2 linked regions of the Nothobranchius furzeri genome follow. The protein of the gene in region 1 purifies or fractionates together with the protein of each later gene. This does not show direct contact. Links are inferred from orthologs where the notes say so. Each region holds a gene or a part of one and is shown on either strand. Other genes may lie near its edges.

Region 1 (4,016 bases):
AAGCTCCGACTTCCTCCTGCGAGTGCTGAGGCGTCTCTTTCACACTGCAGAACTAAAACACAGATGAAGAGTTTCCTTTTATATGAGACCAAAAAAAGTCTAATTTCTTTTCCCCACAAATAATCCGTGTGGGTCGGAACTAGGTCATGTGACACGATTCCTTCAGGTTGTTGATATTTAAATGGGGCAGCAGCAGCTCAGGAGGCAGAGCGACTTGTAATCAGAGGGTTGTAGGTTCAATCCCGGCTCTGCTGCTGAGTCCACGGGGGGGGGGGGGGGGGGGGGGGGGGGTCTAGGAGGCGCTATATCAAACATAATAGGCCATTTTAAACAAGCTGTACCTAAATATCGGCCCATCCAGATCAAAAGTCTGACCGTTTCCTCGTCTTTGAACCATCACTAAGCACTGATCCATGCTAGCAATAGCGTGTTCCCCCTTTCAGAGTAATCAGCCACCCTATTTGGACAGCCCAAGTCCCGCCCATCTACTTCTGGACCATGTGTTGTTGGAAGAATGAAAAAATAAAAGCAAGTTAATCAGTATTTGTCAGACACGTGACCTGCATGTCAACCACACCCCCTTAGCGCCACTTTAGGTGTATGACTCGCGTTGCTGGGGGAGCTGCAGCTGGAGTTGAAGCAGAAGAAAATTCACAAGGATGGATAAAAAGAACAAGGACAAACACATCCTTACAGAAATAAACCTGTGAAGGAGGCTAGTGCTCGGTATTTTCAGAAATACAATCAATAACGTAGATTCCTACAACCTCAAAGGAAACAAACGGAGATCAGACGTTTCATTGCTGCAGAAAATATAACACTAGAGTAAGCGCAGCACTACTTCAACGTGTTTATAATCACATTGTATAGAAACATGACTCCACTAACACAGGGCTGCACCAGGTTTTAATGAGCTTTGAAAGAAAAGCGTCTGGACTTCTTTGAGTTGCTTGAAGACGTTTCACCTCTCATCCGAGAGGCTTCTTCAGTTCTAAGGTCAAATGGTGGAGAGTCCCAGATTTAAACCCAGTGGGAGTTTCCCCCCGAAGAGGGAACAAAAGACCCCCTGAATAACCAGCTGTACCTGCATCGGTGGAAAGATCTTTCCAAATGTTCTCCTTTCTGCTCCCTGAAGGCAGAGTCATCTTCTGGTGCGGTGTTGCTGTAGCTTTAGTAGAGAGGGAATAATCTCACCATAGGCCAGACCTGTATCCCTGGAGTCTGCTAGTGTGGAGGTGTGTATATAAGGCTAATGACGCTAGCATGCTAGGCGGTGTTAGCTGATTAGTTACCTGCAGTATTACCAGGAGAGGATGTGTGACCGCTGCTGCTGCGGTGATGTTCTCTAGTCCAGAGCGGGTCTACACACGTCATTAACTCTAAGTTATCGTGTATTTTGTGTCCAAAGGCTTTGGTTTATTCGTAACGCTTCCTCCCTTGATGAACTATCTACTTTGCTATTTAGTTACCCTGCCGTCATCCTCTCTTGTAAAGTAAAACCAAACGTTGGAGCCACTTAAGCCTTTTTCCAGGAACAGTCTAAAACAGCTGAGTAGTGGTATTGATAAGGCAAAAGTGGCGAATGATTCCTAGTAATAAGGGATGGACAATATTACGGCCTCAATATCGGTATCGGTCCAATAAATAAAACCAGGCCGATATTAATAACCACCAATACTTTTTCCATCTTGTTTCCATTTGTTTGCCTGTTTCAGAGGGTGAGGGGGGTGATGTGTAATTATTTAGTCATGTGACAGTGAATGTAATCACCTCAGAAGTGTAAATGTAATAATGTATATTCAGCTTTAATAATTTTCATTTCATACAAAATTGCTGATTTTAGAAGTGCTAATGCCGGTATATCGGTATCGGCCATAACAGTGATCTTAACATCGGATATCGGCCCAAAAATTTCATATCAGTGCATCACTACTAGGAACTGAAACAAAGGTTTTCCATTCCCAACCCAAGAATGCACACATCCTGAATTTCACACACTACCTCCCAGGAATTCTGATAGATCCAGGGAATATTTATGATGTGCGCATGGTCTGGCTGCATGTTGTTACCCGTGTGCTGAAGTGCAGAGTCCGATATTGTGCGGAACAGCTGAATCCAGTCAGCTGACAGGCTGCAAAAGCGCTGGGACAAATTTCCTGATTCACCACCTGGAATCAGAGTGGAATGATGCTGTTAAACAGGATAACAGCCAAAGTCAGCTGTTATGAATGTGGAGTTTCTACTAAACCTACATTTTCAGCTGATGCTTAATAAAAGAGAATTAATATGAATAAAAAATGAAACAGTGGATTTCTGATCAGAAATTAAAACTAATTAGTTTACGTTTGATCGTATTTTAAGAATGCCTTTGATTTTTTGCTTTTACTTGATCACAAAAAAGACAGCCAGGCATTCATTATACTAAAGTAAATTATAATAAATATATTTAATAATTAAAACCACGAGCATCGTGGTTATTAACAATAACTTTACAGCAGGTAAAATTAACAATTAGCCAAAGATGAGTTTTAAACCAATCAGCTGACAGCCTCTAGGGTGACTAACCCTGTAAACCGGTCAATTTGGGACTCTGAGCTGTAATTTTTACAGAAACATGCTAGCCAGCCATGCTAACTGTTAGCAGCTACCTTAGCGACTGCGGTGCCGCTTCCCGTCGCTTTAATGAGCCTCCGGGCGACGACCTGCAGCGGCCACCGGTACATGGCTGCTCCGGGTCCCGCTGTCAGAACCACGGAGGAACTCTTCACCGCGGCTACCGGTGGTAAAACCTTCAGGTTCGGTAACACCTGTCCCAGCAATGTCAACGGATACGGTCCCAGAGCGAGTACTGTCCGGGCACAACAAAGCAGAACGAAAACAAGGTTCCGCCTGTTTTATAAACGTCAATGAAAACATTAAAACAACAAGGGAGGATGTATATTGGCATTTGGTATTTTGTTATTACAATTAACAAAAAAAGAAAATAAATACAAACTTCAGGTGAACCCAGAAGAGTCAGACTTATTCACTGCTTTTTCATTCATTTATTTTTCATATGTTTAGCAAACAGATTCACTGTCAGGATAAAAATCTGTTTATTTTTATTTTTACAAATTGTTATTTTAGTTTGGTTGTTGAGCAACAATAAAGCAAGTTAACAAATATATAGAGTTGTGTGTGCGTGTGTGCGTGTGTGTGTGTGTGTGTGTGTGTGTGTGTGTGTGTGTGTGTGTGTGTGTGTGTGTGTGTGTGTGTATTTGTAAGTAGCTCTCCTGCTGAGGCAGCCTAATTTTTGGAGTGTGGCTAAAGAAAACACACAAATGAGATGTCGAGGTTTTTGATGTGCACCCCCCCCCCCCCCCCCCCCCCCCACACACACACACACACACACACCGGCTCACTGCTGCTACACCTCCTGACGCAGGCCTAGGAACCTGCCTGCTGAACAAACTAATGATCTAAGCTCCAGCTGCTCCAGCTGTGAGCTCGGCTGCAGCTCAGCTTGTAGGCTTGTTCCTGAAACTGAACCGGACTCCTGGAGCCGGTCTGGGGTGCTCTATAAGTCCTCCAGTGTTGATAAAGTCTGTTTCTACCAAATACACACTGAAGCCGGAACACACAACAGTTTGATTTTATCATCTAACCATTTTTAAGAATAATTGAATCCTGAAAACAAAAATAACAAATTAATCAGACAGAAGCTAACTTTTGTTCCTCTAATTAAAACTGTTGAAAACCAAAAACACGTCGACAGCATCAGAAATTTAAAACTGTCTAAGAAAACATTTTTTAAAAGGAAATTAAGCAATAGATAAATATGAAATGTATGAACCAATGGTGAAGTCAGAAACAACCTTCGTCTGTGATCCCTTTAGCATCACCTTTTCCTTCATTAGCGCTGGAGCAGCCCGGATGGTTGCAGATGTAAACTTGGCAGTCGGCCTCTAAAACTAAACTGATGTAGAATCACTTCTTTATATCAAGCAGCTCTGGAGCCACTCAGGCCGGCTGCAGCT
Region 2 (3,596 bases), about 4.7 Mb from region 1:
ACCTCAGGGACCTGCTGGGGGTGTAGGGACTGAGAAGATCACCAATGTAAGATGGTGCTTGTCCATGTAAGGCGCTAAAGACCAGAACCAGGATCTTGAAATGAACCCTGAAGTTGACTGGCAGCCAGTGAAGCTGGAGGAGAAGCGGGGTGATGTGGGTGTATTTGGAGGACTTGGTCAGAAGCCGAGCACAGGCATTCTGAACCACCTGCAGACGGTTCAGGGAGGTTCTGCTCAGACACGTGAAAAGAGAGTTACAGTAGTCTAAGCGTGAGGAGATGAAGGTGTGGAGAACAGTCTCAAGTTCAGAGCAGGACAGAATGGGACTCAGCTTAGCAATGTTCCTGAGATAGAAGAAGGAAGAGCGAACATGAAGTGAAACTAAAGAGAAAATCAGAAGACTTTTGCAGTAAAAAAAATGATCGGATTTTGTCTTTTCTCGATTCTCAGTTGACTTTTACAAAACATCTTAGAATATTAGAGCGTCTCAAGAAACAAACCTAATTAAAAACCATTATATGCATAGATGACAATAATGAGCTTTATTTCTATACAAGCAAAATGAAAAGCAAAAAAGGGCTATTTTTCAGGAGCTTTTTCTGGAACGTCTTCCGGTGATTTGGAGGAGAATTTCTTCATTAAAGATTTCCACAAACCCTTCTTTTCCTCATCCATGCTCTGTTGAATACTCCCTGTAAACAAACGTGGTGTAACTAACAGCGGATCTGTGGCAGCTCTACATGACGGATGAAAAAGAGTCAAAAACATACGACAGATGAGATGCTTTAGGTTTCCTACCTGACAGAAGGACTCTGCACTCCTCTGCTGTAACACCGGTAAAACTTGTGTCTCTCACACGAGGAAACTGGACAAAACACACATTATTTGTACGATTCAGTATAATAAAGTCTATCATTACACTTTTTAATTCCAGCATTAAAAGGAGATTATTTGAGTTTCATGAGAATGTTTGGTTACAAATTACAAACACATACTTTTTACAAATTAACCCAACGTGGTTTACTAACATCAAGTAAGATGTTTTACTGTCATTTTCACAAAAAAAAAGTATATTTTTGTCAGTTCTTGAATGCAGCACACAACAAATAAAAAAGCAATGGTGAAAATCAACTTACTCTTTGTCTGTACACGTTTCCATTTATACGAGCCAAACTTTCATACATTTGGTCACATTTCTCTGGATCTGCAATCTGAAAAGGTGACAAAAGATGGAACTGTTAATAGAATAGCTTTTAATTTTGTTTGGATGCAAATGAAAGCTGAAGGAAGTGGTTTACAAATTACTTAAGCAACATATTTGACTGCAAATGATTAAAACAAATTCTCTGAATATATAAAAATAGCACAGTAAGTCATATATAAAGCATAATTTATATTCATATTAGCCAATGCATTATCTATTTTAACTGTCATAAAAGAATAATAACCTTAATATTTTTCAGTCATGAGTATAAAATTCAGTCGTGTAAATGTTAAATGTTTGCGAAAAATAACTAAAATAACACTTTTCAGTTGTTAATTTTTAACTGTCGTATTATACAATTTATTAAAATAATACAACATCATAATATAGTTTTGTATTAATTTAGTAAAGTATATTAGCGCGGTGTTATTTCTGCAGCTGCGTCTTTTCCACATCAACAAACGCTGCAAGGTCGACAGGAAGCGTTTGTCCAAAGCTTCAACAGCCGCCGCGTGACCTCCTACCTGCGTGTTTTCGCCCTCGCGGAACGCAGAAGCGACCCTCTGCCGCAGAAATGTTCCCAAATCGCGGCCCTTTTTGGTCTCGTCTCGGGGCCATTCCTCGCATAGCTTTAAAAACCGACGATATCGTGTCGCAGACATCTTTGGTCATGTAATATTTACGCGAACGAGTACGTTCACGGCTTGAGCCTTTTCGGACACCGTAACTTGTGTCACATCTAAACTGTTCCCCCTTTAATTTCTGCTGGGATCTCGCGTGTGTTCCTTTCCTTCAAAATCAGTCAGTGATTGATATGCAGCAGTGTCTGTTCAATTTTCTGTTTTTGTTTCATAACTACTGCAGTAAGGCTTACGGTCTTAAATTAGTTTATGTTTGCTGTAAAATGTTTGTTTTACTGTATTTCCCCAGTTGCACAATGCCGTGAACAGTTTCAATTAAATATTATCAAGAGTGCATATGAAGTGTCTTGATTTTCCTTTACAATTTATGTTTTTCAACATGCCATGCAGGCTGTCCAGACTTGACATGTCATTGGGAAGCACCTACAAAGAAATCCGTCACAATGAGAACATGTTCAAACCATTTGATTTTGTGACCAAAGGTGCCGGTGTAATGACTTGTAATTGTGACAGCCCTGACACTTTGATATAAGTACTTGCTTTTGATGAATATATTACCTGTTTTGATTAAGGGACTTGCTTTTGAAGCATTGACTACTTATTCTGAGCTTTTGAACAACTGACTTTTCTTTTTGATGAAATGACTCACCTTTGCAAGTTATCCACCATGTTTTGCAGTTTGCACTAATTGTTTTGAGAAGAGCGTGCAGAGATCAATTCTGTTGTGAGAAATGCACCAAAGCAACTGAGAAAAACTAATATAACTCCTCAGCTAAAACATTCAGAAATAACAGTTTGATTTTAAATTAAATTATTAATGATGTTTTTTTATTCTTTGTACAAAGAGTTTACTGTTTTAAATGAAAATCTAAAAGTAAACTATACGTATTTGTTACTCTGGGTTTATTTGTCATTAGGGATTTTTAAAATCAACTAACATGTTATATTTTTAGTTTTTTATGTTATAATTTAAGACAAAACTAACATCTGTTTTAAAACATTCTTAAACCTCATTGAATTGTAGTTTCGGTTCCAGAAAATAATTGCTCAAGCTTCAGGCAGTTTTAGCTGTCCTAAATGTGTAATAAGGACTGATTGTTGTTGGTTATTTTAAATTACTGTGCAATCTTTGAATGTCTTGTTTACATTTTTAGGAATCTTCTGGTCAACGTAGGCTTGTTTGCTTCAGGCGTTTGGGTTGCAAGAAATCTCTCAGATTATAATCTGATAATTAATAATTAAGCTGGAGGGATTGCAAGGAGCTCAGATACTGCTGGACCATGCTGCACAAGCCATTACTGTCATAAAGAAGAGCAGGTTTCAACCCCACCTCCACAGCCGAGACATGCGCAGCAAGGTCGAGACTCTGAGGAACAGACGGACTTTCTACCAGCAGACAGATATTTGTGAGCTACGTCAACATAAAGGTCCTGAACTGACATGGCTGCATAAAATCACAAGTTTAAAGTCCTTAATGGCTGAACATCTAGCAGTCAGTCTGACTAAAAGATCACAATCACAAAGATGCTATTTAAATGTAATTATTTTCATTTAATCAGAGGTGACATTTATAAAAACTAAACAAGTAAAGATGATTTGTTTCCAAAGTAGCACAAGAAATATTTCTGTATTTACTGGAGTTGTTTGTTTCTTCTTTGTTGGTTTAAGATGCCTAAAAGACAAGAAACATGTCAGTTAGAAATACAGCTTTTGACTTTTACAGTAACTGGATTGTTTTATCAGAATAAGAA

Evidence for each region. Proteins that work in one complex are often made in the same cells at the same time.
Region 2: the proteins of uqcc1 (region 1) and uqcc2 purify together in Homo sapiens (co-immunoprecipitation; 3 studies listed by BioGRID and IntAct, counting the BioPlex papers as one, with this or other methods). This does not show direct contact. The link is inferred for Nothobranchius furzeri from reciprocal best matches to the Homo sapiens genes UQCC1 and UQCC2.

What each region holds. Positions count from the first base shown.
Region 1 is NC_091743.1:78,149,395-78,153,410, reverse strand, and holds the start of uqcc1 (ubiquinol-cytochrome c reductase complex assembly factor 1), read right to left. Parts: upstream 2,866-4,016; 5' UTR 2,724-2,865; coding exon 2,649-2,723; intron 2,169-2,648; coding exon 2,070-2,168; intron 53-2,069; coding exon 1-52. UniProt on the Homo sapiens protein: Required for the assembly of the ubiquinol-cytochrome c reductase complex (mitochondrial respiratory chain complex III or cytochrome b-c1 complex). Involved in cytochrome b translation and/or stability.
Region 2 is NC_091743.1:73,466,426-73,470,021, reverse strand, and holds uqcc2 (ubiquinol-cytochrome-c reductase complex assembly factor 2), read right to left. Parts: upstream 2,098-3,596; 5' UTR 1,867-2,097; coding exon 1,729-1,866; intron 1,212-1,728; coding exon 1,137-1,211; intron 866-1,136; coding exon 799-865; intron 693-798; coding exon 580-692; 3' UTR 528-579; downstream 1-527.